Linked DNA regions of Stegostoma tigrinum. The protein of the gene in region 1 binds, or shares a complex with, the protein of each later gene. Links are inferred from orthologs where the notes say so. Each region holds a gene or a part of one and is shown on either strand. Other genes may lie near its edges. The genes, in order: acyl carrier protein, mitochondrial-like; LYR motif-containing protein 4.

Region 1 (15,225 bases):
CCATGGTACAGAGTTCTTATTTTGAATGCTGCAATGTTGCATAGTATCTGGCAGTCTGGAGCAGTTCCTCCTATGGTAGTCAGCAAAACAGCTACCCGAGTTTTGAGCTTTTCAGTACCTACCTGCTCAAAGTGTTTGGAATTCTTGTGTTACAGCTCACAAACTGTCTTCATTCATGTGGCCAGTCACCTTTGATTGTGCAGCTGTCTACAACAGATATTGTTGATCTAGGCAAAGATTTGTAGCTGCAATGTCAATGAAAAGAACATCATTTAAAATGTACCAAGAAATGTGAGTAGAGTGTCTAGAAAACATCCTTGCTTCCTCTCATATTAGAAAATTAATTATCACTAGTCACAACTTACTAGTAGAACAGCATATGGTCAAAGCGTCAAGAACTCTAGTACACTTGATCAAAATGAAGTGATCATAGAACAATCAATATGGATATAGGAACAGACAGAAACATTGCATGCAAGAATATAAGCAAGTACTTACCTGCAGTGATTGCAGGCCCACCAGCCTAAAAGACTAGATACGGAGGATATTGTTTGTCTTGTCAACAAATTGGAAATACGTTGTGGATAGGTTGGGATCTTCAAGCTGTTTGCATTTATTGAGAATTGTCATAACATCTATAGTGGTGTATGATTGGACAATTCTGGTTGCAGGCCCCTGAATTAATACTTTGAGGGTGGAGAGGTACCAGCTTTTGAACAGGCAGTGAACTGTTGGAAGAATGTTAAAGGAAAAATCTGGAACTGTTCCCAGCTGCTGGTTTAATCAGTTAGACTTAAGTTGGTTGTTGGTTCAAGTCCATTTCAGAAAGCTCAGCTCAGAAAACTATGCTGATACTTGAGGCCTGAAGAACTGTTGACTTTTACAAGCGGTTTGAAACCAAGAACCTAAATACTCCATAAAAACCGAAAGAACTGCAGATGCTGTGATTCAGGAACAAAAACAAAGTTGCTGGAAAATAGACTAAACGTTTTATGTCCAGTGACCCTTCCTCAGAAGTTCTGAGGAAGGACCACTGAACCCGAAACGTTAATTCTGTTTTTTTCCCTTCACAGATGCTGCCAGACCTGCTGAGCTTTTCCAGCAACTTAGTTTCTGAACCTAAATACTCCCTCAAGCAAAAATAAAAGATTCAAAATTTGGTCTTTTATGAGATTCTGACTGGAGATGAGACCCAGCTTGGAAAGAATTACAAAATGAAAAATGTAAATGCACTACAAACAAAGAATAATAAGAGGAATTATAACAATATTCTTTGAAACAAAAAGTAAATTGTAAACACTAAAAACTTAAATTCTGGAAATACCGCGTCTATGACTATCTAAAACAAATGCTTTGTATTCAGCTTCAGTCCTTATGTTTCGAAAATGCTTTTTAAAAAAAATTTAAATCAAGCTCACTGTGTAACTAAGATTACCTGAATACATACTAAATCATCCTCTGATTTCTTTCACTCCTGTTTGTCATGTTTTCATATCTTACAATTGTTATCTTGCATCACTGGATACAATGTATAAAATAAGTCTGTTGGTGTTTTCAGCAATATAATGAGTTTGTGCTTGTAATGCTGCACTTTCGAGGGACAAGCCCCACATGTATTAAAGATTTCTTCTTTGAGATTACTGATTTATTGGGATTTAAGGCATGGTGGTTAGCACTGCTGCCTGACAGCACCAGGGACCTGGGTTCGATTCCACTGAAGGGTGACTGCCTGTGTGGAGTTTGTACATTCTCCCTGTGTCTGTGTGGGTTTCCTCTGGGTGCTCTGCTTTCTCCCTACAATACAAAGATGTGCAGTTTAGGGTGGCATGGTGGCTCAGTGGTTAGCACTGTGATCTCACAGCGCTAGGGACACAGGTTCAATTCCAGCCACGGATGACTCTGTCTGTGGAGTTTGCACATTCTCCCCATGTCTGTGTGGGTTTCCTCCGGGTGATCCAGTTTCTTCCCACAGTTCAAAGATGTGCAGGTTAAGTGGATTGGCCATGCTAAAATGCCGATAGTGCCCAGGGTGTTTAGGTTAGCTGGATTAGACCTGGGAAATGCAGGGATGGAGGAATAGGTCTAGATGGGATGGTCTTCAAAGGGGCGGTATGGACATGTTGGGTTGAATAGCCTGTTTCCGCACTCCAGGATTCTGATTCTATGAAATATAAATGAGGACTTAGGCAAAGGGATGATTTGCTACAAATTACACTTGTCTACCTATTCAAAGCTTACAGCATAGCTTGTTTGAATTTTAGTCTATACTTAAGATTAGAAAAGGCTTTTTTTTAAAGTTTAGAATCATAACAAGAACATTGATTTAATGCTACTGACAAAGGTACCAAGCAACTTTGCAAAATTTGACACTGACCTATGTTAAATACTTAAGCTGGTGAGGAAGATGTCTTTAAGGATTGTATTACTGCAGAAAAGTGTGGTTCGTAAGGAGAAATTCTAGATCTTAGTACCTCAGCAACAGAAACTCTGGCTACTAGTGGAATGATTAAAATTTGAGAGGCATTACAGCCCACAATTAGAGGGATACAGAAATCTTGAACAAGTGAGCCCAACGCTGAGTTATTAGAATGTTTTTGCAATATGTGAAATGGGTAGGGCACATGGGTATGATTTATATTCGTATTTGGATTACATCCTACCAGATCAGACCTGTGAGTCTGACTGCGGTTATGGGTAAATTGTTGGAGGTGATTATAAAAGACAGGATTTATGACATTTAGAGAGGCAAAAATTGACTAGGGATAGTCAGCATGGCTTTATGCGAGGAAAATCGTGTCTCTCAAACATTTGATTTTTCTTGAGGAAGTTACCAAAAAGGTTGATGATGGCAGTGCAGTAGACATTGTTTCTTTGGAATTTAGTGAAGCCTTTGACAAATTTCCACACGGTAGACTAATTAGTGAAGTTAGGTCACATGGGATTCAGGATGACCTTGCCAATTGGATACATAATTGGCTTAACGGCAGGAGACAGAGAATAATGATGGAGGATTGCTTTTCGAATGGAGGTTTGTGACTAGTAGTGTTCCACAGGGATTGGTTGTGGTTCTCTTTTGTTTGTCATTTTTATAAATGATTAGGCTGAGGAAGTAGAAGGCATGGTTGGTAAGTTTGTGGATGACATCAAAATTAGTGACATTGTAAACAGTGAAGAAAGTTTTCCAAGATTACAAAAGGATCTTGATTACATGGGTCATTGGACTGAAAAATGGCAGATGGAGTTCAATCCAGATAAATGTGAGGTGCTGCTTTTGGTGCAACAAACAAGGCTAGACCTTAATTAATGGTAGGTTCTTGGGTAGCATTGTTGAACGGGGGGAAGTAGGGGTGCAGGTACATAATTCTCTAAAGTTCGTATCACACATAGTCAGGATTTTTAAAAAACTCATTCTTGGGATGAGTGTGCTACAGGATAGGCAGCATTATTGTCCATTCCTAATTGCCCGGAAGGCAGATGAGAGTCAACCATATTGCTGTGGGTCTGGAGTCAACATGTAGGCCAGGCCAGGTAAGGATGGCAATTTCCTTCCCTAAGGGACATTAGTGAACCAGATGGATTTTTCTGACAATTGACAATGGATTCACGGTAATCATTAGATTCTTAATTTCAGACATTTATTAAATTCAAATTCTACTATCTGCCATGATGTGATTTGAATCCAGGTCCCCAGAACGTTATCTGGGTCTTTAGATTAATGGTCAAACAATAATACAACTAGACTATCACCTCCCCAAAGCCGCTTGGCCTTTGAGTGTAGGAGTTGGGATGTTATTTTGAGGTTAGTACAAGACATTGCTGAGGCCTCTTCTGGAATATTGTCTCCCATTTAGTCACCCAGTTATAGGAATGATATTATCAAGCTGGAGAGGGTTCAGAAGAGATTTATCAGGATGTTGCTGGGTGTGGAAGGTTTGAGTTATAAGGAAAGGCTGTAGAGGCTGGAATATCTTTCACTGGAGCGTAGGAGTTTGATAAGTGACCAAATTGAAGTTTATAAAATAGTGACAGATATAGAGCTGATGGTCATTGTCCTTTCCCTAAGATGGGGAACCTCAAGCCTAGGGCACACACTTTTTGCAGATGAGAGGAAAGAGATTTCAAAAGAAGGCAAGAGGCAAATTTCAAACACAGAGGGTCGTTTGCATTTGGAATGAACTTCCTGAGGAAGTGGTGGATGCAGGTCCAATTACAATGTTTAAAAGACATTTGGATGGATATATGAATGGCAAAGGTTTGGAGGGATATCGGCCAGAAGCAAGCAAATGGGACTAGTTTAGTTGGGATTATGTTCAGCATGAACTGGTTGGACTGAGGGGTCTGTTTCTGTGCCCTATGACTCTATGATTCTTAAGTAATTTATTGGAAGTTAATATACATTTTATTGTAACACAAGTTTCAGAAATGTTTACTGATATCAACCATTTACTCAGTTTCTTTTTAAGCTAAATTCAAATTCTAAAAACTACCATGGCTATTTTCCAATCATGTTGTCTGGATTATTTGTTGTGTTATAATAGCATGCCCTTCAGCATTACCCAATGAACACAGAGATCCAAGTATATTAAGTGATACTTAGACCATTCAAATCAGGTCATGCATGCTTCGAACAGAGTTGATCAAGGTAATGTCTTTCACAATCTCGGAAATACCTGCAAAGCACTTCAGGATGTTAAGTACTACTAGTGTAGTCACTGTTCTGGAGAAAACAGCAGTCTACCACACTGTTGAGATTAATGAAGGATATGATGTTTGATAGTTAAATATCAGGCCAGGAAGACAAAGAACAGCCCCCTTGTTTTTCTAGAAATGATGCTTTACAGCTGAAAGGGCAAAGATCTCAGTTTACATCTAAACCAGTGCACTTGGATTTTGTATTGGAATTTTAGAACTTGGAGCCATGACTCTGTCTCAGCAAACATGAGGCACAGTTGATACGTCAAGTTAAAAGGTTTGTGTGTACAGGTCAATGCCTGCCAAAAGGTGATGTTTTTATATAAATATGTTATTCACAGGATTGTGGTGTGCAATCACAGCACTTCAAACCGTCCGTATAACAAGTTTCTTAAATACAATGTTTTCAATATTTGCCTTTCTGCAGTTTTTGTGTGAGATCTGTTTACTAGTCTGACACTTCATCATCGGTTCTGTACTACACCACCCCCTGCTGGCAGAAGGACAACATTTTAGTGACATTTTAATTGCCCAAGTTACATATTCGCCCTATGTCCGTACCGACCATTTGGAAACAAAACCCAATTAGACTGACTCACCTGCAAATTTTTTGCAGAGGCCAAGTCATGTTAAAACAAAAACGTCTAATTTTTGTTACCGTTTATCTTGGATTAAGGTTAGAGGAAGGTCAAATTGTGCAGAGCATGTCACCTCGTTCAGGAGCTGGGGAAAGAAAAGTCACACTGCAAGAGCACAAGACAAGGGTTGCACTGTTTTTATTTAGTTTTTTTGTACACTTGGCCCTCGTTGGTTATTCTGACTTACATGAGCTTTATACAAACTGTTTTCAGAACATAGGAAACAATACAGACTCTGAATATTAAAAAGTGCGAGTACGTCCTGTTAATAAAACAAAAATAAATTATCAAAAGGCAGCAACACATACTCATGCATCTGCCCAAAATAACTTAAACATGTTTTCAGCAAACAGGTAATCTAATTTACAAGGAGAAAGCTACACCACACAAGGGTCTGGGAATTGGGCCAATATTGGTTGCTTCTCTCAACTTTTTCGTGTTCTGGTTTTGAAGATGTGCTGTTCCTGAAGCTTCATGGGGTCATTGGCACAGCTCCAGGCCTTACGCAGGGTGAACTGAGTGCAGTCAATGGCCCAGATGGGGTAGATACCTCCCTTACCCAGGCAGGAACCAGCAGTCAGTGCCTGGTTACGATGGCGCAGGCACTTGGTTATGCTTGCAGGGAGAACTGAAGAGCCATGGGTAATAAGGCGCTGTTGCTACAACTGGTTAAGTCTCTTCACAGAAGCTCGCTGTTCCATAGGCAGACTCCTGTGCTCCCTGTTGTTGTAACAACAGCAAGCTGAACTCCAGACATCTACTCAATATCTATTCAATGAAAGGAGTGCATCTCCAACTTTTCCTCAGTATTAGGAATTACTAGATTTTACAAAGGCCAAGGCCCATCTACTTTGCCTTGTGCTGTCCTGGGGAAGAAAATCTTACTTTTATATGTTTAAAACAATGATCAATTACTATTCATAACAATCATGTTCTCAATTAGTCCACGGTAAATTAGTACATAACGTAAGAAAACTCATTGATCAAGGTCTTTGAGAATCATATTTAAAATTTTTCTGATCTACCCAAGCATATGACTTTCACTACGTGTCATTTCTCAAAAGTCTTCATATCAAATTAGTCCTTGTAATCAAATCTTATTATAGCATTCTTTCTTGCCACTTTGTGGGTGGTTTATGGTCAGTTGTACAAAGCAGGTAACCAACTCTTAAGAAATAAATAAAGAACATTTTTTGGTGGTGGACAGGGTGGTTATTGCGCTGACATGATTGTGAAATTAGGTCAGCGACACACCGACAAACCAGTAGAACTTGCAAATGATGTGTACCAGTCCAACTTGTCTTGTGTACCTCAGAACAGTGCTCCAGTATGACCAGTACATTCACTACCAATTTCCTTACTGATTTCTTCTCTTTGGGGTTGGGAGTGTTGGTATAGAAGCATGGAGACCCTATGTTAAGAAGCTGTGGTACCACTGCTCTGAAACTATATTGATAAGATACGTTGTATAAATAAGAAAATTCACAGCTTCATTAGTAAACAGTTATCATTTCCTACACTTAGGTGATTCCAGTCAAGGTAACTTACCATTGGTCAAAGAGTTGGTGACAGTGACCAATTCTGGGTGAAAAGCTGTTTACCATGGGGGGTTATGGACGTGATTTAGGAATGGACTGGAGGCTGGGGCACGTTAATGCAAATACAGAAGTAACTCAGGACAAAATAATTCTCAGAAGGCTCGACGTGGGATGCCAGGTAGAAAGGAAAATTATGGAACAGTCCTGGACAATTGCTAGTTGGTGAAGGGTCCTCTCATGCAGCTTCTAGCCCAGGATGCTCTATAAAATGACAGCTGTACATGCTTTCTGTTGTACATTACCTCCTATAAAGATGGTAGTGCACTGCAGTTTCCTGCTGCACTTACCCCATATAAAATGTTGGATGGAAATGCTTTATGCTGCACTGAACACCTTGTAAAGATAGCAATGGCGCCTACTTCCCTGAGGGCTACAATCCACTGCCATCTCGTGGCCCATGGCAGGATTGCACCTTGTAAACTTTTGGTCAAATAGGAATGTTGAAGTTAGAACATATTTTTTCTTTATTTTCTCACAGGTGCAGATGTCATAAAGTCAGTATTTGTTGTCCATCCTTAATTCCTCTTGAGGTGAGCGTATGTTGTGCCAATTCAGAGGGTACTTTAGAGTAATCCGCATTAGTGGTTCTCGAGTCACGTGTAGGCCAGATTAGGTAAGAACGCCATATTTCCTCTTCTGAAGGACAATCACGAACCAGAATATTTTAGTTTCGTAGCAACATTACTGAGGCTAGCCTTCAATTCAAGATGGTATTAACTTGAACCCCTGCCTCCAGAACATTGGTCTGCGCTTTTAGATTAGTAGCCTTGTTACTCGACTAGTGACTACACCACTACCTCCCCTATCCTGACTATTAAAGAAGGACTTTTCATTACAAGCCAGAGTACCACCCTACAGATCTCGCTATATTGCAAGCAATACGAACAGTCAGTTAAGTGACAGAACGAAAATTAAAATCTGGAGTATCTATTTTGATCAACCTTATCCAAAGTTTCTTATCCAAATCCCTGAAATCTGGACTATGACCCATAACTCCACACTGACTTAACTTGGTTGTATCACTTATCTCCACAAAGGTAGATAAGTTCCACAGCAGCTACGAGTCGTCAGACTGCAGACTCTCCACGGACAGCGCCACCAGCGGCGGTAGGTGTGGAGTTCGGGGGCGGGGCAGGCCGGGCCGCGCATGGGCGTTGTTGACCTTGCCACGGCCGCCGCGCTACACGCTGGAAACAGAATCGTTTCCAAGATGGCGTTGCGTGTCCTCTCTGGATGTCTCCGCCGGTGGCCGCAACCTTGGGGCCGGCCAAGGGCAAGCCCGAGTGTCGGGGCCCTGCCCCTCGCCGGATCCAGCAGCAACTACTCTCAGTACGTCTGCAACAGGCGGGTTGTAGATGTGGCGCCCCGAGCTCAGGTAATTTGGGGGTTGGTGATCAGGCCGGACCCAGAGCTCCTCTTCTCAGTCCGAAAGGACGCTGAGGCAACGGGTGTAGCATAACTCCAAGTGCCATCTGCGTCAGACGTTGGAGTAAAAATCCTTAATTATTCGATTAAAACTTGAGTCGAGCTGGAAAGTGTGGAATAAAATGTTATCACTCCCTAATCCAGTGGAGTTTAGAATTGGCTTGAGCCTCGGGGGGGGAAATGCACTTGTTCTTCTCTGTACTGCTAATTGTCAGGGTCAAATCTTCAAATTGGGTAACAAGATTTAAAATAAATACATTTATTAATAACCAGGATATTCTGTAAGAACAGAAGTCGGAGCAGAGTTGGCCATACGACCCCTTAAATCTGCTGGGTTATTCTGTTAAAACCACGACTAATCGTCTATATTGACTACACTTTGCATGTTGATCCCCAGATCTGTGAATTCCTTAATTTCAAAAAATTCATTTATCTGTGTCTGGAAAATACTTGATTTGAAGTTTCACAGTCCTCTGAAGATCATTTTCATCTTCAACCTGAAATTAACTTTGCTGCCCTAATACCCCAAATCTTTTTTGAAGTGAAGTTTGCAATGTGGAAAAGTGGCAGCTAAGTTATGCATAAGTTTTTCACAACAATGTTAAATGATGGGATAATTTGATTGTTAGTAATGTTGATTGAGAGATCATTTCTGAACCAGTGTAGTGCAGAGAGTGCTGCATTGGCAAAAAATGTCAACTTTCAGGTGATAAACTGAGGTCCTGTCTAAGTGGATGTCAAAACAAAAGTTCTGTGGCACTATTCAGGCAGTTCTCCTGGTATCCTGGCCTAATTAACTAGGGAGGTATTAAATAGATTGGAAACTGAAATAAATGTGGACGTTGGAAGTCAGAAACAATAAAACAGAAATTGCTGTAAAGCTTAACAGTTCTGGCAGCATCTGTGGAGAGAGACCAGTTAACATTTTAGGTGCAGTAACCCTTCCTCAGAACTGATGTTGGCTAGTAAGAAGAGAGATAACAAGGTGTAGAGCTGGATGAACACAGTAGGCCAAGCAGCATCAGAGGAGCAGGAAGGCTGATGTTTCGGACCTAGACCTTTCTTCAGAAATGGGGGAAGAGAAGGGAGTTCTGAAATAAATAGGGAGGGGGAGGTGGATAGAGGAGAAGATAGACGAGAGCACTCAGACAGGTCAAAGAGGCAGGGATGGAGCCAGTAAAGGTGAGTGTATGTGGGGAGGTAGGGAGGAGGTAGGTCAGTCCAGGGAGGACGGACAGGTCAAGGAGGTGGGATGAGGTTAGTAGGTAGGAGATGGGGATAGGGCTTGAGGTGGGAGGAAGGACAGGTTAGGGAGGTGGGGACGAGCTGCACTGGTTAAGGGATGCGGTGGGGGAGGGGAGATTTTGAAGCTTGTGCAGTCCACATTGAGACCATTGGGCAGCAGGGTTGCCAAGCTGAATATGAATTGCTGTTCCTGCAGCCTTCAAGTAGCACCATTGTGACACTGCAGTAGGCCCAGGATGGGCGTGTTCTCTGAAGAATGGGAGGGGGAGTTGAAATGGTTCATGACTGGGAGGTGCAGTTGTTTAGTGCAAACCGAGCGCAGGTGTTCTACAAAGCAGTCCACAAGCCTCCACTTGGTTTCCCCGATGTAGAGGATGCCATAACGGGAACAGCGGATGCAGTATACTACATTAACAGATGTGCAGGTGAACATCTGCTTGATGTGGAAAGTCTTCTTGGGGCCTGGATGGGGATGAGGGAGGAGGTGTAGGGGCAGGTGGAGCAGTTCCTGCGGTTGCGGGGTAAAGTGCCGGGTGTGGTAGGGCTGAAGGGGAGTGTGGAGTGGGCAAGGGAGTCATGGAGCGAGTGGTCCCTCCTGAAAGCAGATAAGGGTGGGGAGGGAAAAATGTCTTTGGTGGTGGGGTTGGATGCAGATGGCGGAAGTGTCGGTGGATGATCCATTGGATCCAGAGGTTGGTGGGGTGATACACGAGGACGAAGGGGATTCTGATTTGTTATTGAGGGGATGGGGTGTGCGGCATGAGTTGCGGGAGACACGGTCGAGGGTGTTCTCGACCACTGAGGGGGGGAAGTTGTGGTGGTCCTTGAAAGACAAGGACATCTGAGATGTACGGGAGTGGGATGCCTCATCTTGGGAGCAGATGCGGCGGAGGCGAAGGAATTGGCAATAAGGAATGGCATTTTTGCAGGAAGGTGGGTGGGAAGAGGTGTATTCTAGGTAGCTGTGGGAGTCAGTGGGCTTGAAATAGACATCAGTTTCTGGGTGGTTTCAGAAATGGAGACAGATCCAGAAAGGAGAGAGATGTATTACAGATGTTGCAGGTGAACTTAAGTTTGGGGTGGAATGTGTTGGTTAAGTGGATGAACTGTTGGAGCTCCTCGTGGGAGCAAGAGGCAGTGCCGATACAGGAGGCCACAAAGGAAACAGCAGATACAGTATACCACATTAGCAGATGTGCAGGCGAACATCTGTTTGATGTGGAAGGTCTTCTCAGGGCCTGGGATTGGGGAGGTGTAGGGACAGGTGTAGCACATGCTTCGGTTGCAGGGAAAAGTGCGAGGGGTGGTGGGGCTGGAGGGGACTGTGGAGAAGACAAGGGAGTCACAGAGAGAGTGGTCCCTCCTGAAAGCAGATAAGGGTGGGGAGGGAAAAATGTCTTTGGTAGTGGGGTCAGATTGCAGATGGTGGAAAAGATGGAGGATGATGCTTTGGATTCTGAGGTTGGTGGGATGGTTCGTGAGGACGAGGGGGTTCTGTTATGGTTATTATTGCAGATAGGGGTGTGAGGGATGAGTTGTGGAAAATGCGGGGAAACACAGTCAAGGACATTTTTGATCACTGTGGTTGGGAAGTTGCGGCCCTTAAAAAAGAGGGCATCTGGGATGTCCAGGAGTGGAATGCCTCATCTCGGGAGCAGATGCGGCGGAGGCAAAAGTAATTGGGAATAGGGGATCTGTGGACACAGCCTTTGATTTAGAGGGGGTCAATTTAGAACGGAGATGAGGAGACATTTCTTCAGCCAGAGAGTGGTGGGCCTGTAGAATTCATTGCCACGGAGTGCAGTGGAGGCCGGGACGTTAAATGTCTTCAAGGCAGAGATTGATAACTTCTTGATCTCGCAAGGAATTAAGGGTTACGGGGAGAGTGCGGGTGAGTGGAGTTGAAATGCCCATCAGTCATGATTAAATGGCGGAGTGGACTCGATGGGACGAATGGCCTTACTTCCACTCCCATGTCTTATGGTCTATTGGCCTCTTTTCATGAAGGTTCGTGAGAGAAGCTGTATTCTAGGTAGTTGTCAGAGTCGGTAGGTTTGAAATGGATATCGGTTTCCAGGTGGATGCCAGAGATGGAGACAGAGAGATCCAGGAAGGAGAGAGAGGTATCAGAGACGGTCCAGGTGAACTTAAGGTTGGGATGGAAGGTGTTAGTGAAGTGGGTGAACTGTTTGAGCTCCTCATGGGAGTATGAGGCGGCGCCGATTACAGTCATCAGTGTAATGGAGGAAGAGATGGGGGATAGGACCAGTGTAGGTGTGGAAGAGGGATTGTTCCATGTATCCTACAAAGAGGCAGGCATAGCTTGGGCCGCGTGGGTACTCATGGCCACTCCCTTTGTCTGTAGGAAGTGGGAGGAATTGAAAGAGAAGTTGTTGAGGGTGAGGACGAGTTCGGCTAAGCCTTTGTAGGATATATAGAACAATCCCTCTTCCAAAGCTACACTGGCCCAATGCCCCACCTCTTCCTCTGGTACATTGATGACTGTATCAGCGCCGCCTCCTGCTCCCACGAGCATCTCAAACCGTTCATCCACTTCACCCCCTACCCTGTTCCGGTTGTGTCCTTCTCTACATCGGGGAAACCAAGCAGAGGCTTGGGGACCACTTTGCGGAACACCAGCACTCAGTTCGAAACAAACAACTGCACCTGCCAGTCGTGAACCATTTCAACTACCCCTCCCACTCCTTGGACAACATGTCCATCCTGGGCCTCCTGCACTGCCACAGTGACGCCACCCGAAAGCTGCAGGAACAGCATCTCGTCTTTCACTTGGGAACCCTGCAGCCCAAGGGTATCAATATGGACTTCACAAGCTTCAAAATCTCCCCTTCCCCGACTGCATCCCAAAACCAGCCCAGCTAGTCCCTGCCTCTCTAACCATTCCTCCCACCCCAAACCCCCCCCCCCAATCTCCTACCCACCAACCTCATCCCATCTCCTTAAACTGTCCGTCCTCCCTGGACCGACCTATCCCCTCCCTAACTCCCCACCTACGTTCATCTTCACTGGCTCCAACCCTGCCTCTTTGACCTGTCTATCTCCTCTCTACCTATCTTCTCCTTTATCCATCGTCCATCTCCCCCACCCCCCACCATTTATTTCAGAATCCCGTCCCCTCCCCCATTCCTGAAGAAAGGTCTTGACCCGAAATGTCAGCTTTCCTGCTCCTCTGATGCTGCTTGGCCTGCTGTGTTCATCCAGCTCTACACTGTGTTATCTCAGATTCTCCAGCATCGACAATTCCTACTATCTCTGCAACAATTCAGCACACCACCTTGTTTCCTTGCAACATCTCTGTCTCAGGCTTGCCCATGTTCCAGCAAAGCTCAGTGCAAGATGAAATAACAATACCTCATTTTCTCCTTACCTATACCCTTCAGTATTTTATAAATCTTTGTAAGGTCGCCCATCAACCTCCTACACTCCAGTGGAAAAAATGCCCCAGCCCCTCCCTATCACTCAAACCTTTTATTCTCGGCAACATCCTGGTAAATGTTTTCTGAACACACTCCAGCTTGATAATATCCTTCCTATAGAACGGTGACCAGACCTGGACACATTACTCCAGAAGAGGCCTCATCAATGTCCTGTACAACCTTAACATGACATCCTGACTCCCATAATCAAAGGTCTGAGTGATAAAGTTGATTCATAATTGTTTGTCTATAGTTGGCATCTAATTGTAAAAAAAAAGTAATTCCTAAATACAGAAACCTGGTCTGTGCATACTGTCAACTAATTTGGGGAATTTTATGTAATTTTATAAAATCTTCAACTTTTATGACAACTTTAACAGCTTGAGTTCCAATGAGCTGCCCCAACGAGGCGTAACGCTATTGTATGTCAAAACAATGGACTTTTTATTTGCAAACACAGTCTACAGGCTCTGCAACTGGCATTTTAAATTAACCTGTTTCTTGCATCTCCCTTTGCAGAGTTGTAGTCTGTTTCTACAATCGTTGCGTCATTATGGGGATCTGCCCCCCCTCTCACTTGACAGCATCCAGGAACGAGTGCTGTATGTGTTAAAACTCTATGATAAAATTAATCCTGACAAGGTAAGGAAACAATGTCACTGACCTTTTATTGAATTTTCATAATACAAATGATATCACTCTGAGAAAATGTAATGTCTTTGAAAGGGAGTTGCCAACATTTCTTTATTTAATTCTTAAAAAAGAAAATAAGCAGTAAAGAGCTTAAAATATAAACTGAGTGAGGTGATGACTGAGTTTGCAGGGACTGGAACAGAAGCCACTACTAGCAGGAGCATGAAAAATTAACATGTAGCCCTGAACAACAGGCCAGTGTAAGCAGCCTCCATGCACCCACCTTTAGATGCTTCATAGTACACAGTTTTGCTAACATGGTATGTCTGAAAGTTGGCTGTAGATGTCAATCATCTTGTCTCAGGGCAAAGAGGAACAATATATAAATATCCTTATAGTTTGTTACTTGTCTCCAGGGTAACCAGAAGTAATTTCAGCTTAGCTTTTCTTGCTGCTCTAACCCATAGTTTTATAAATACTAAAACACAATGGCTTTTACAGATAGAGATATGCAAAACCTTCCTGGCATATCTCATATCTTCTTGTCTTTTTGACAATCCTTTTAGCCAATCTCAGCTAGTTTACAAAATATTCCAACGAACCCTTAAGTTTTCTTGAAGACCAAGAATGCCGAAATACCTGGATAACGTTCAGGCTTGGGCTGAGAGCTGGTAGGTAATGTTCTCGATCAAAGAGCAGGCAATGATCATGTTAAACTGGAGAGAATCTAGCCCTGTCCCCTTGACGTTCATCCAGGCAAGTGGGAAATATTCCATTAAAGACCTGACTAATGGGGCGTACTTTGGAGGGGTAGTGGGGCAGTCATGAGCTGAGTTAGTTGCTGCTGAATTATGAGCCTCCTGCCAGCTCCTTAGAAGCTACAGTATATGTGGCTGATCTATTGAGTTTCTGGTCCTTAGAACGAGTAACAAACTTTAAAAATTACAGAAGTATTTTAGAGGCTTAAGACATCTGTTGGTGTGTGTGCTGTGTGGTCAATCAGCTGGTGAGAATGACTTCAATCAGCACCCATCCACCATGTAGCAAAGAGGCAGTTGTAACATGCATACTCCCTGTCCTCTTTCCATTTTTAAATAAAGCTTTTCAGAGCCTCATTATGAGGCAGGAAACCCCAGTTTTTCTTGGATACTGAAAGTACAAGGTTGTCTGTTCTTTGTTTTCAAAGGATTAAATCTGTTGTTGGTTGTGCTGAATGTCTCGATTGCCTGTGGATTTTCTCTTGTATTTCTGAAACCCCCTATATTTACAATATTTCCTTTCTTCTCAAAGCTTCTACTAAGCTCTCATTTTATGAAAGATTTGGGTTTGGACAGTTTGGATCAAGTAGAAATCATTATGGCCATGGAAGATGAGTTTGGTAAGTGTCTGTGTGTGTGGTAGGTTGTAATGTGTTCAGTATATCTTGGTGTTTTAATCCAAACACCTCAGGGTTTTTGTCAATTAAACTGAATCTTTTGACTCCTTTGCCTGAAGTTACTTGAGTTGTAGCCTGCTGTATATTCCACAGTCATAGCTATCCTCTCTGTTGCTGTCAAG
Region 2 (15,459 bases), on another chromosome or scaffold:
ATAAGACAACTGGCTCCATCCAGGTATCAATCTAATGAATTTCCTCTGAACTGTATACAACCAATTTAGACCTTCTTTAAATATTGCAATCAGCATTCAAGATGCAGTCTCATGAATGCCTTGTATAACTATATATAACAAGCTTACTTTTAAGTTCAATTCCTCTCCTAATATGCATCCCATTAACTTTCCTATGTAATTGCCATACCTACGTACCAACCTTTTGGGATTCATGCACTAGAATGACCAAATTCTTCTACATTTCACTTAAGTAATACAGTAGTTTTTTGTTCTTCTGCTGAAGTGAAGAACTTCATACTTTTCCCATATTTTATTCCATTTGCGAGATTTTTGCAGCCTAATTTAACCTATGTAAATCGTTTTGCAAGTCTATCTGGACTTGAAAACTGTCAGCCCATTGGTTTGTTTTGTCCTGCTTTCTTAGTGATTTTAATTTCTCTAAGTTCCTTGTTTCTTTCCACCTCCTGACTTACAGCAATTATGGGAACGTTTTAGGTATTCTCTATCTTGAAAATAAAAGCAAAATATTGGTTAATTTCATTTGCCATCTCCTTATCATTTGGTATAAACTTTCCGTTCTCACCCTCTGGACGGCGAACTTATTTTTCTTACTCTTTTCCTTTTTAAGTAACTGTAGAAATTTTAGGTATCCATTTTTACATTTTGTAGTTTGCTTCCTCTCATTCTTTGTTCACATTATTCTGTGCCTTTCTTCACATTCAGGCAAAATCATCTGATTTTTATTAGATTACCTTCTGAGAAGGGATTGGACATGCTGGTCCATTTTCATTGCAATTTTGAAGACTGAGGGGTGATTTGATTGAAGCTTAAGATCTTGAATAGTCCTGACAAGGTGGATGTAGAAAATACATCTTCACTTGTGGATCCCTTGCAAATCCAGTTATATTGCAGATCCACCTATCGAGTGGTGCCCTTACTCGAGATCTTGGCTTAATCCTGTCACATTACATAATAAAAAGGCAAACAGTTCAAGCTTTCTAGCTGACATGTCAGATAACCCTGTATATTGAGGATCCAATTGCTGTTGTCCTGCAGCTATGTCTCTGTAATGGTGATCAGATCATATTTTAGTTCAATACTTGTAATGAATTCACTATGTATACAGCCTTTAGTTTTATATTTTCGTAAATTTTTATCTTGATTGTTATCATATTCCATTTTTTTCCCCTCGTTTTCCATTCCTGCCATCATTGCACCCTCGTTTCTCATAAACTATTTTACTCTCTAACCTTCTATCTAGTCTTTAATATACGACATCTTTCCAATTTTGATCCCTTACTCCAAATGGGAAAGCAGAGTAAATGAAGGTGAAATGTCACTAAGTACATGAATGAAACTAATTCTACAATAGTGTTGAAGTTGCTTTGTGTTCTGGAAATCAGTCTATTCATATTGCAGGGAGCAGGTGCACAGCAATTGCTTTAAAGTTTGGCTAATGGGCTTTTTCCACATTTATCGTGAGAAGTACTTTGAGGGTTTTGAACCAAAGTGGAGTTATGCGAGAGGATAACACTTCAGTCAAAGGATTATGTATTCAAGTCCACAACTTAAGCACATAAGTTTAGTAGTGAGAGAATGGTGTACTGTTGGAGAGACCATATTTTGGATTTGGTTTTAAACTGACACCAGTGTTGCCTTTTCAAGATGGATAGAAAAGATCCCACAGCACAAGTCACAGCAAACTACCATTTAATTATCCACTGAGATGGGAAAGGACACAAGAGAAGAGAAAACAATAGTACTAACAAGTCATTAATGAACATAACCTTGTTCCTAGAATCTAACATATTGATGCAATTACAGCAAATCAGCAAACACCAAAGGCGTTATAGATTATAACTGCTTTTCAGCATCAGGGGTCAACTTCCACAATTAAGCAAGTTTAAAAACAGCCTTATTTATAAATGCTGTACTCCAAGATCAACCTGAAGTCAAGGGAATTAGTGTCCTTCTTGCACCTTGAGATGGTACAGCACTGCAGTGTTGCAGAACAATGATTACACATGAGCAGTACAATAGATTTCCTGGGAGATAAAAACTAACTTAATAAAAAGCCTTAAAATATACTGCAGTAGGATTGCACTGGGAAGAAGATTCAACCATCCAGATCACATTGTGACTGTAATACAAAGAACTTTCATAACTTACTTTGTGATAATGTATGTACAACACTTAATCATAACCAAATGAATCATTAAAGTGTAAGAACTGGAGGAAGCATTATTTCACTGAGCTGGATAACAGGCATTGAGGCCAAGTATGTTCAGCCTTTGATAAGGTTGATTGCAGAGTCAAGCAGGACAATATTCTTGTTTTGCATACTTACATGTTAGATTTTCTTGATTTTTGCAGACAGACACTAAATACCTTTGTTCTTCCACAGCCCCTTATCCCTCACTGATGTGGAAGTGCTGGTGTTGGACTGGGACTGACAAGGTCAAAAATCACAAGACAGCAGGTATAGGCAAATGAATGATCAAATGAAAAAGTAGAGCACAGGAACAGGCCCTTTGGCCTTTCAAGCTGGTGCTGACCATCATGCTGTAATTAATCTTAAAAAAAACCTGCCATTTTTCGATCTGTATCCCTCTATTCCTTCCCTATTCATGTACCCGTCTAAGTGCCTCTTAAATGTTTTCAATGTGCCCACTTCCGTCACCTCTTCTGGCAGTGCATTCCAGCTGCTATCATTCTCTGTGTGAAAAACGTCCCTCGCACATCTCCATTAAACTTAGGATTTAGGGTTAGTGAATCGGTGTTCCCTTTTTGGGCATTGAATTGAGTTCGCTCAAATAGGGTGTGCCTTGTGTAATAATGGCTCTTTCAGAGGTTAAATTTTCCTGGTGTGGAAGAAGTCACTTGGGGTAGTTTACAGAAGGTGTGCAACTTTTGGAATTGGCAGGCAAGTTGGAGTTGAAATTGCGTTCCCCATGAGGAAAGGGGAGGTAATTGCAGCAATAGCTCGATACTTACAATTGCCAGAAATGCAATCGGAAATTGTAAATGGCTAAAAATCAATCACAACTGATGCAGCCTGAATATGAAGATCGAAAACAGATGAAAAACAAATGAGAAGAAAGGGAGACTTTTTGAACTTCAGAAGTTGGAACTGAAAACTGAAAGCTAACTTAAAATGGTGGAGGCAGAGGTGAAAGGTAGTAGTGACGAGGACGAAGATGCAGAGCGTTGTAGTCAAAGCCTGGTAGGAATCTGTTTAAATATGTCTAAGCATTGTCCTTTTTGTTGAGCGTAGGCATAGAAGCCTTTTTCATTTCATCAGATCAGCCACGGTATTGCTGATTAACAGAAGCCTCAAGGGACCAAATAGACTGCTCCTGTGTCTAATTTGCAGGTACTGTACCAGTTCTGGTAGCCAAGACAAGGAGGGGAAGCAGTGTGAGGAGACCCCATGACAAGCAACAATATATCATTGACTCCATCTTGAGCTCATCCAAAGCTCCGAAACACTTACATGTCACTGAACTTGGTAAAATTCTTGGCTTCTTATCCAATATCATCACAATATTTTAAAATCTCAATGTATTCAAACGCCTTCAACGCACGTCTTATCTTAGTAATCTTCTCCAGTGCTACAACTAGGGTCTCTGCACTCTGATAATGCTCATGTATCTCAATTTTCATTACACCAGCATTAATGGCCAAGTCTTCAGCTAGCCTAGCTTTCAGCTTTCGAAATGCTTTTCTTGGGACATTGTTCTCTGCTCAGAACAGAAAAACAGGCCATTCTTCGCTGCTCCGACCATTAATAAGATTGTGGCTGATCCTCTACTTCAACTCTGTCTACCTGCACTATTCTTGTATCTCTCAAATCCCTTAATCCTCTAAAAACCTTTCAATATTTATTTTGAACCAGTGCTGTGCATATTCAGCCTCTAAAAGAAAGAATATTCCAAGAATTCAGAATCATTTGAGTAAAGAAATTTGTCATCTCCCTCCTAAATTTGTGACACCTTTTTTGAGGCTATGCTTCTTAGGTAAAGGCACATTGCTGTTAACTGACTTGTCTTGTTTTATTAGATGTTTGATATTACTTGGCTGCAAATAAACTAATGGGTCTTGATCATCAAGAACAAGATGCACTGCAGCAAGTTCCCAAGTTCCCTTGTCAGCACCTTCCAAAACTGACAATCTTTACCACCTAGGAGGACAAGGCTAGCATACTGAAGGACAGAATTAATCTCAATTTGGACCAACAAAGATTAATTAAGGATAGTCAACATGTGTCTGTCAAGGCGAGATTGTATTTGACAAGTCTGATTTGAGTTATTTGAAGTGGTTAATAAGTGTGGAGATGACAGTGGGCAGCTTGTGCACTTTAAATGTACTTCAGTAAATTTTTTGACAAGATGTCATACAGGATATGTCATACCAGTATCCTGGTCAAGAAGGTAAAAGCCCATACACTCCTGTACCACAGGGTTCAATATTGTTTATAGTGCTCATTAATGATCTAGGCATGAATGTAGGAGGTTTGATCAGTAAGTTTACAGATGACAGGAAAATTGGTGGTGTGGTAAATGAGCAGGAAAGCCTTAGACCACAGGATGATACAGTCAGGTTGGTCAGAAGGGAAGAACAGTGGCAAATGGAATTGAATCCAGAAAAGTGAGGTGATGCACTTTGGGAGCACAAACAAGGCAAGGGAGTACACAATGTACTTAGAAGTACAGAGGATCACACAGATTTTTGTTCATGTCACATATCCTTGAAGACAACAGTACAGGTAGATGAAATGGTTAGGAAATCATGGGATACTTGTCTTTATGTGTCAAGATGCTGAATACAAGAGCAGAAAAGTTTTGACGGAGCTGCAAAAGATGTTAGTTAAACCACAACTGGATTGTTGTGTGCAGTACTGGTCACAACACTGTCGGAAGGATGTGAATGCTCTAGAGAGGATTCACCAGGATATCGGCTGGGCTGGAGCGTCTCAACTATGATGAGAAACTAGATAGACTGGGGTTGTTTCCCTTAAAGGACAAAAGACAGGTAGGGGCTTAACTGATAAATACAAAATTATGAGGTATAGAAAGTTCGAAAGGAAGAAAATTCTCCTAGTAGAGGGTTCAGTAATTGAGCAGTTTAGATTTAAAAGACAGGAGGTTTAGAAGGAATTCAAGGAAGAACATTTTCACCAAATTAGTGATGGGTATCCAGAGCTCTGCCTGAATGAGTGGTAAAGGTGCGAACGATCACAACATTTAAGTAGTATTTCAATAAACACTTGCAAGGCGTAACATACAAGGCTATGGGCCAAGTGCTTAAAAAACAAGATGTGCCCAGGCTGCTGTGTTCATCCACCTCTACACCTTGTTATCTCAGACTGCAGAGTCGGCAGCTCCTACTATCTCTGAATGAGCAGATAAATGCTTGATGACCAGTGAGTGTGTGAAGGGCTGGAGGAAATATGTGTGTTGTAAAAGGACTGACTTTAATAATACATCTAAAAGTCCGGAGATTGTATCCTAAATAAAAACAGAAAGAACTGCAGATACTGTAAATCAGGGACAAAAACTGAAGTTGCTGGAAAAGCTCAGCAGGCCTGGCAGCATTTGTGAAGAAAATAAAAATCAGAGTTAACGTTTTTCATCAGGTGACCCCTTCCTCAGCTCTTGTTGTTGCAACTCTATCTTATTCAGCACAAAATCTTAATCAAGCTTTAGTCTGGCATTGGTGACCTACATTCCCATAACAATTAATTGATTGTAAAGCATTTTGATTTTTTTCCAACGATCATGAAAGACAATGTATAAACATATGACTTTCTTGACACTTCCACCTTCAACTTCTCAATCTTGGTTTGAAATCCCTTCATGGTCTCACCCAGTGTTTCTGAATTTTATCCAGGACCCAAAGCCAGAAACACACCTATCCCTGGTCAGGTCTGACATTTTGTGGATCTCCCACTGATCCCTTTTTTTCAAACCTTTCTTTAAAGCCGATCTCTCAGATTTCTGATGAAGGGTCTAGGCCCGAAACGTCAGCTTTCCTAAATAATAAAGTGTGAAGCTGGATGAACACAGCAGGCCAAGGAGCATCTCAGGAGCACAAAAGCTGACGTTTCGAGCCTAGACCCTTCATCAGAGAGCCTAGGTCTAGGCCCGAAACGTCAGCTTTTGTGCTCCTGAGATGCTGCTTGGCCTGCTGTGTTCATCCAGTTTCACACTTTGTTATCTTGGATTCCCCAGCACCTGCAGTTCCTATTATATCAAACTTAAATTCTGTTCGCCGCTTCTAATCTCGCTTTTGCCTGAGATTTTTTTTTCCCGTGTGTGTGTGTGTGTGCGCGCGCGCGCGCGAGCTTTTGATTGCGTTTTTGCCCGTTTTTCTCGCATTAAGAACGGCTACATAAATAAAATGTCAGTGGTTGAAATTAAATTGCGGCTTAAGTGGGATGGAGGAGTGTGACATGGGATTGATAAGCAAAGTACGTAGCAAATATCAACATTCCCTGGCGGAAAACAAAATTACTTCTTTTTACCTATAATTGTAACTGGTGAACTTCTTGCTTTCTTTCAGCATCAACCTGTATAAAGACAGGACCTGACTGCTTGTGGGCACCGCCATCTTCGTTCTTCGGTCTTTACCACGCAGGACCCCGGTGGCTGGGCGCGCGTGCCTGAAATGGAACGTTGTGCAGGCAACGGCTGTCCTGTGGAACCTTCGACCGTTCAGGATTCAAAACAAAACTGAATACGTCCGTTCTGCTTTTGCCTTGCAAAATCCTAAAAGTAGGATCCACTGTTCGCATTCTCTAACACCTTTTATTTTCATAAAACTGTTCTCTCCTCTCGACTGGCAAGACAGTGTCCTACTATTGTCAATTTGTGTTGTTGAGGTGGTGGGAGGGGAAAAAAGAGGTCAAGGAAGGGACGGTGTCACTGTTGTATCTTTGCAAAGAAGGTGAGTTGGTTCGTGAGAAGTTGTGCATGTTAAGAGCACAGGGATATAGAATATGCCCGTGGTGGTTCCTTTTTTTTTAAACAAGGTCATCGTTCCAAAAAGGAGTTCTCTTTTATAATCCTGAGACTAAAATAGAAGGGACGTGTCGGGGAACCACGTCCGGTGTCTCGAGGAATGCAATTCATTGCACAGTTACTTGCTGTTGGGCAGGGTTAATAATCGTTATCAGGTTTTGTTCTTCATGCACGCAACTTTTGAGCGCTCCTCCGATCTCTCATTTTTGGCTGTGACGCAGCCTGTACAAAAAGGACGCGAAACAATGCAGAAACGCCGTTGGTGCTGGAGATCTGAAACTAAAATAAAGTGGATGGCAATGAGCAACGTTTTCACACCGGGAGGCTCATTAGGGTCTGGAATACCTTTTATCTGAAAGAGTGGTAGAGACAGATTCCTCCACGAATTGGGATTTGCAGGATTATGGGGGTAGAGGAGGGTGTGTACGACAAAAGCGGGTAGAAAGATATGTAGAAATGATGTAGCTGGTATGTACTTAACAAAAGGTGACAATTCTGCTTTCATCACAGCACAAATACATTCACTCAACCAGAAATCTCAAGACTAAGGCTACGTCAGATTTTAGACTTTGTTGGATTTCTGGTCAGGTTCTTTGGACTGTGGGTGTTCAAGCCAATTGGATAATATGGAGTACACAAAGTGTGGAGCTGGATGAAGACAGCAGGCCAAGCAGCATCAGAGGATCAGGAAAGCTGACCCTTCTCGACCCGAAATGTCAGCTTTCCTGCTGTGTTCATCCAGCTCTACACCTTTTGTTATCTCGGATTCTCCAGCGTCAGCAATTCCTACTATCTCTGCATAATATGGAGTCAATGTTGTTTGAAATGTGGGAGATGTGTGATATAAACAGACCAGTTTCTCTGGTGTAAATTCTGTGTTACCTTGTTCTTAGTCACATGTATCTTGTACACAAATCAAAGCACTTATTCAAAATATTGCCATTTGTGCTTGAAAAGAGTTTTCCCTTAGAGCTTTCTTATGAGGTTTTGCTTGTCAATAGCTATTTGATCTATAAGTTAGTTAATATAAAATATATGCTGCCTTTTTAATCTCACACAGCATTGGTCACATCTACACAGTTACCACGGCTCTATTGAGATTTTTTTAATGGAGCAGGAATTCTGGTAGTATTGATAATAAGTGACTGCCACCAAGTGAGTTGAGAGGGAATTTGTTTTGGAGTAATAAAATTAGCAATACACTTAGTCTCTATACATTTTTGTACAGATCACTCCATGTCCCAATAGCCTACTGATCTTATCATAGGAGAAATCCATTTAAATCCTTCTGTTGTTTCCAAAGTATGATGAGAAACATAGAGGAACAGGAGGAGGTCATTTGTACCCTTCGAGCCTGTTCTGCTAATCATCACGTTCATGGCTGATTGTCCAACTCAAGAGCCTAATCCTGCTTTCACTCCAACTGCTATATCTGGCTGCCTTTTGAGTACATTCAACTACTTCCTGTGGTAATGAATTCCACAGGCTCATCACTTTTGGGTGAACAAGTATCTCCTCATCTCCATTCTCTGTCTATCCCAAATCCCTAGACTGTGACCCCTGTGCTGGACACGTCCATCAGGAACAGGCTCCCTGCATCTACCCTGTCCAGTCCCATTAAGATTTTAAAAGTCTCTATGACATCTCCTCTTCTCCCCTCTTTCCCCCCCCCCCCCAACTCGCTCATCTGAATTCCAGCGAAAATAATCCTAATCTAGTCAATCTCTCCACTTGTCAGTCCCACCATCCCTGGAATCAGCCTGGTAACCTTCACTGTAGTCCCTTGAGAGCAAGAGTGACTTCCTCAGAAAAGGAGACCAAAATTGCACACAATGTTCTAAGTGTGGTCCTGCCAAGGCCCTGTATAACTGCAACAACACTTCCCTGCTCCTACACTCAACCTCTCGCTATGAAAGCAAACATACCATTTGCCTGCTTTACTGCCTGTTGCACCTACATGCTTACCTGACTGGTGCACAAGAACATTCAGGTCCTATTGCACACTCCCCTCTCCCAATTTACAGCCATTCTGTAGATCTAAACAGTGTAATAAATTATTCATGTGCTGTTTTCACTCAAGTTGTAAATCTGGGACATTCTCATTTCCCAACTTTGATCAATTCATTGACAAAGACAGTTAGATTTAAATAATTACAAGTAGACATTCTCAAAATTGGCAGTCTACAAACCAGAATTGTCCAGAAACTGGGTATTTTTGAATGTGCATGGCATTTTTTTTTTGTTACTCAGTTGAAATTGACTTATCTGGATGATGCATAAATGTATTTGTTAGTTTGCTTGCTCACTAGTTTATTCTTATGTTCCAAGTGACCCAATCTGAATTGGCCTGAACATCCACTGTCCAAAGCAGCAGAAATCCAAATCCAAGATCCAGTACAACCTCAACGGAGTGTACTGTTGAAGGATCCAATAGATGCTTATTTCAACTGGTTATCATGTATAATTATTGAATTACAAACACGTAAGAGTTACAGATAAGTGTTACACTAATGTTATAGCTGAGCATCATACTTGTAGTAGCAATTCATACTTCAAGTGATCTACTTAAGGTGGAGTATGCAGTGTTTATACAATTAGGTCATATTCTATGATACAATGATGATATCACAAGCTCATCTTTTAAAAGTATACTGATGTACTGTGTCTCAAAATATATTCTGATTTTTCAGACTGAGAATAAGTAAGGAAATTATTATTAAGGAAATTATGGATTTCAGCAAGGCGTTCGATAAGGTTCCCCACAATAGGCTATTGTACAAAATGCGGAGGAATGGAATTGTGGGAGATATAGCAGTTTGGATTGGAAATTGGCTTGCCGAAAGAAGACTGAGGCTGGTAGTTGATGGGAAATGTTCATCCTGGAGACCAGTTACTAGTGGTGTACCGCAAGGGTCGGTGTTGGGTCCACTGCTGTTTGTCATTTTTATAAATACCTGGATGAGGGCGTAGAAGGATGGGTTAGTAAATTTGCAGACGACACTAAGGTCGGTGGAGTTGTGGATAGTGACAAAGGATGCTGTAGGTTGCAGAGAGACATAGATAAGCTGCAGAGCTGGGCTGAGAGGTGGCAAATGGAGTTTAATGCAGACAAGTGTGAGGTGATGCACTTTGGTAGGAGTAACCGGAAGGCAAAGTACAGGGCTAATGGTAAGATTCTTAGTAGTGTAGATGAGCAGAGAGATCTCGGTGTCTATGTACACAGATCCTTGAAAGTTGCCACCCAGGTTGACAGGGCTGTTAAGAAGGCATACAGTGTTTTAGCTTTTATTAATAGAGGGATCGAGTTCCGGAACCAAGAGGTTATGGTGAAGCTGTACAAAACTCTGGTGCGGCCACACTTGGAGTATTGTGTACAGTTCTGGTCACCGCATTATAAGAAGGATGTGGAAGCTTTGGAAAGGGTGCAGAGGAGATTTACTAGGATGTTGCCTGGTATGGAGGGAAAGTCTTACGAGGAAAGGCTGAGGGACTTGAGGCTGTTTTCATTAGAGAGAAGAAGGTTGAGAGGTGACTTAATTGAGACACATAAGATAATCAGTGGGTTAGATAGGGTGGATAGGGAAAGCCTTTTTCCTAGGATGGTGATGGCGAGCACGAGGGGGCATAGCTTTAAATTGAGGGGTGAAAGATATAGGACAGATGTCAGAGGTAGTTTCTTTACTCAGAAAGTAGTAAGGGAATGGAACGCTTTGCCTGCAACAGTAGTAGATTCGCCCACTTTAGGTACATTTAAGTCGTCATTGGATAAGCATATGGACGTACGTGCAATAGTGCAGGTTAGATGGGCTTTAGATCGGTATGACAGGTCGGCACAACATCGAGGGCCGAAGGGCCTGTACTGTGCTGTTATGTTCTATGTTCTATCTGTGGTATGTGCGAAATGATGAGTGACAAAAATGTTTGCTTGTGGTCTCTGGTTCTTCTGCTAATCATCTTACGTTTGTGTCCTTTATTTATTTTTTTGCAAACCATTCTGGACTGTGAACACTTCATCTAATTAACTTCTATTCTTTTTCTGCTCCTTGGTAAATAACATCTCTGCATGACTGAAGTCGCTAAACCCTGGGATGATTCTAGTAAATCATGTTTGTATCATTTCCAAAGCCCTGACGTTCTTCCTAAAGTGTGAACTCCAGAATCGAACAAGATATTATAGCTGATGTTTAACCAGTATGTTAAAGGGTTAGAATACCTCTCTGATGAAGAATGCCTCTCTGATGACGGGTCTAGGCCCGAAACGTCAGCTTTTGTGCTCCTGAGATGCTGCTTGGCCTGCTGTGTTCATCCAGCCTCACATTTTATTATCTTGGAATCTCCAGCATCTGCAGTTCCCATTATCTCTTAGAATACCTTGTTTGTTTTTGTGTACACTCCTCTGTTTTTAAAAAAAAACCAAGGATTCAACTAGTCCTGCATTTTTAAAGAATAAGCACACACATCACCAGGCATCTCTGTTCTTGTTTCACTTCCGCGCCCACCACCCCCCCCCCAAAAAAAACTGTTCAATTTAATTTATCTTTAGTGTACATTCATCTCCAGGTCTCTTTATTCCTGTCTCCTCCTCAAAATTGTAATACTTAGATCATGCTGCATCTACTTATTCTTCTTACTAAAATGTGTCAGTATGGGCTTGCACAGTTTAGGAGAGTGGGATGTCATAGATCCCTACATTGTAGAAACAGGCCACTTGGCCCAACAAGTTCACACCACCCCTCCGAAGAGCATTCCACTCAGACCCACTCCTGTATCACTGCATTTTCCCCATGTCAAAATCACCTTATCTAAATATTTGTGGGCACTATGGGCAATTTAACATGGCCAATCCACCTAACCTGCACATCTTTGGACTGTGGGAGGAAACCAGAGTGCCTGGAGGAAACCCACGCAGACATGGGGAGAATGTGCAAATTCCACGCAGACAGTCGTGTGAGGCTGGAATTGAACCCAGGTCCCTGGCACTGTGATGCAGCAGTGCTAACCACTGAGCCAGCGTGCCAACTTTTGTGCAATTGTTTTTAAAGCAGAAGATTTTTAAGCAGAAGATTTGCATTCGGTATCACTTTTGCTTTAAATTCTCAGATCTTTTGGGCTCATTGAGCTGATTTTGGGTGAATTGTGCCAAAATGCCTGGTGCTCACATATTTCTCATTTGAAATCCATTCATGATATTGCAACACACTTCCTGCAATAACCCAAAGCCTGTGTGGTTTACTTGGTATGTCTCCACACCCCTATGCCTTTCATGGTTGGTGATAGATGTTCAGATAACTCTGAATCCCCTTTGATTCCCTGTGCCTAATTACCTCTTGCCCATTTTCACAGACTGTCACTTAGTACCATTTTTTTCTAATGTGCAATCAGTTGACACTCTTACTTCTATTGTTCTTCCTACTCTAACCTATGGATACTACTACTGGTTTCAAAAATGTGGAAATTATTACATGAAAGGTCTTAGGAAAATTTCTACCGTTGAAGAATGAATGGATGAGGAAGAATGTTAGATTGCCCAAAATTCTTAGTTATTAATTTCATTCTCCTAAAACAAATGTACTCCTTGCAAATAAAGATAACAAAGTGTGAAGCTGGATGAACACAGCAGGCCAAGCAGCATCTCAGGAGCACAAAAGCTGACGTTTCGGGCCTAGACCCTTCATCAGAGAGGGGGATGGGGAGAGGGTTCTGGAATAAATAGGGAGAGGGGGGAGGCGGACCGAAGATGGAGAGAAAAGATGATAGGTAGAGAGAAGAGTATAGGTAGGGAGGGGATAGGTCAGTCCAGGGAAGACGGACAGGTCAAGGAGGTGGGATGAGGTTGTAGGTAGGAAATGGAGGTGTGGCTTGAGGTGGGAGGAAGGGATGGGTGAGAGGAAGAACAGGTTAGGGAAGCGGAGACAGGCTGTGCTGGTTTTGGGATGCGGTGGGGGGGAGGGGAAGAACTGGGCTGGTTTTGGGATGCAGTGGGGGAAGGGGAGATTTTGAAGCTTATGAAGTCCACATTGATACCATTGGGCTGCAGGGTTCCCAAGCGGAATATGAGTTGCTGTTCCTGCAACCTTCGAGTGGCATCATTGTGGCACTGCAGGAGGCCTATGATGGACATGTCGTCTGGGGAATGCGAGGGGGAGTTAAAATGGTTTGCAACTGGGTGGTGCAGTTGTTTATTGCGAACCGAGCGGAGGTGTTCTGCAAAGCGGTGCCCTAGCCTCCGCTTGGTTTCCCCAATGTAGAGAAAGCCGCACTGGGTACAATGCATACAGTATACCACATTGGGCAGATGTGCAGGTGAACGTCTGCTTAATATGGTAAGTCATCTTGGGGCCTGGGATGGGGGTGAGGGAAGAGGTGTGGGGACAAGTGTAGCACTTCCTGTGGTTGCAGGGGAAGATGCCGGGTGTGGTGGGGTTGGAGGGGAGTGTGGAGCAGACAAGGGAGTGACGGAGAGAGTGGCCTCTCTGGAAGGCAGACAAGGGTGGGGATGGAAAAATGTCTTTGGTGGTGGGGTCGGATTGTAGATGGCGGAAGTGTCGGAGGATGATGCGTTGTATCTGGAGGTTGGTGGGGTGTTATGTGAGAACGAGGGGGATCCTCTTGGGGCGGTTGTGGTGGGGGTGGAGTGTGAGGGATATGTTGCGGGAGACTCCGTCAAGGGCGTTCTCGACCACTGCGAGGGGAAAGCTGCGGTCCTTGAAGAACGTGGACATCTGGGATGTGTGGGAGTGGAATGCCTCATCGTGGGAGCAGAGGCGGAGGAATTGGGAATAGGGGATGGAATTTTTGCAGGAGGGTGTGTGGGAGGAGGTGTATTCTAGGTAGCTGTGGGAGTCGGTGGGCTTGAAATGGACATCAGTTACAAGCTGGTTGCCTGAGATGGAGACTGAGAGGTCCAGGAAGGTGAGGGATGCGTTGGCGATGGCCCAGGTGAACTTGAGGTTGGGGTGGAAGGTGTTGGTGAAGTGGATGAACTGTTCGAGCTCCTCTGGGGAGCAAGAGGTGGCACCGATACAGTCATCAATGTAATGGAGGAAGAGGTGGGGTTTGGGGCCTGTGTAGGTGCGGAAGAGGGACTGTTCCACGTAACCTACAAAGCAGCAGGCATAGCTTGGGCCCATGCGGATACCCCTTTGTCTGTAGGAAGTGGGAGGAATCGAAAGAGAAATTGTTGAGGGTGAAGATGAGCTCAGCTGGGCAGATGAGGGTGTCAGTGGAGCGGTATTGGTCGGGCCTGCGAGACAGGAAGAAGCGGAGGGCCTTGAGGCCATCTGCATGAGGAATACAGGTGTATAGGGACTGGACGTCCATGGTGAAAATGAGGTGTTGGGAGCCAGGGAATTGGAAGTTCTGGAGGAGGTGAAGTACTCCTTGCAAATGTTGTGATTTTTGGAGCTGATAGTTATCAGCATGTTTGTTGTCTTTCACTGCATACCTTGGGCTGTTTCTTCTTAAAATTAAGAGTGAAGCATAGAATAAGCCTGATTATATAGTGTAATTGTGAATATTGTAGGATCAATATGACTTGGCATGATGGTATAGATTAAAACTAAGCTGAAAACTGGGGGATATTGTGTCTATTGAAGGTAATTTGTAGCTGGTCTTTTACCGCTGTGTTCAAGGTAATGCATATTTCAGTAATTAATAATCATTTTAAATGCACATTACCCCAAGCATAGAAATTGCTGTACAGCATAACCTTGAGGTAACTAATTGAAGACTTTAAAAAACATTCTTGTTACATTTTCTTTGTCTATAATCAGTGAAACTGTTTTCCAAATCATGGAACTTTATTTACTTTGTCTTGTTACTTCAGCATGTATTAATAGAGAGAGTTCAACTTCTGGTTTCACACTGCATTGGAAGCATGTTAATTGCTTTCAGCACGAATTGTACCAAGTTGACTAGTTTTGACCAAGTCAGGCTTGAGACTGGAGGCTGCATGATTAGCAGAAGGCTGCAAATGAAGTTTCAGTGGCCCCAAAGATTGTAATATAAAGATGGCAAGGCTATCTGTATTCGTCATCAGTATTGTTTAAAGTTTAAGGCCAATTTTGTCATCTTTTGCTTTTAAGTCCTGAAGTCCAGAAGTTAATGTCTGTGACTCACTGCTACTCCATAGGGTGTGATATTGAAATCATTGAAGATGGAAATAAGTTAGAAGTCACTGAGTTGGTGTGAAAACTTTCCCATTTATTTCCCAATATTCTTCTCATTGCAGAATCAGCCTTGAAATTCACACTTGTTGAATGAAATGGGTTTTTGATTATGTACAAATTCATAATTGTTGAATAACTTCTTTGACCGTGAAAGCTTTATATTATGCTTGTGGAATAATTTCACCATTCATCTTAAAAATAGACTTTTGCACTATGCTTTTTGCAAATTTATTTATATTTCAGTTTTTTTG

What was found.
Region 2: the proteins of acyl carrier protein, mitochondrial-like (region 1) and LYR motif-containing protein 4 are in contact, whole or in part, in a crystal structure (PDB 6ODD), measured with the Homo sapiens proteins. The link is inferred for Stegostoma tigrinum from reciprocal best matches to the Homo sapiens genes NDUFAB1 and LYRM4. Residues at the interface, in NP_004994.1 of Homo sapiens: Lys92, Asp111, Ser112, Leu113, Asp114, Val116, Glu117, Met120, Glu123, Asp124, Glu129, Ile130, Asp132; in NP_065141.3 of Homo sapiens: Arg6, Leu10, Ser11, Tyr13, Arg14, Leu17, Arg18, Lys21, Arg37, Phe40, Arg41, Lys44.

The regions. Positions count from the first base shown.
Region 1 is NC_081376.1:22,366,544-22,381,768, reverse strand, and holds the start of acyl carrier protein, mitochondrial-like, read left to right. Parts: upstream 1-8,060; 5' UTR 8,061-8,075; coding exon 8,076-8,303; intron 8,304-13,554; coding exon 13,555-13,677; intron 13,678-14,958; coding exon 14,959-15,046; intron 15,047-15,225. UniProt on the Homo sapiens protein: Carrier of the growing fatty acid chain in fatty acid biosynthesis.
Region 2 is NC_081355.1:11,430,649-11,446,107, reverse strand, and holds the start of LYR motif-containing protein 4, read right to left. Parts: upstream 6,821-15,459; 5' UTR 6,631-6,820; coding exon 6,545-6,630; intron 1-6,544.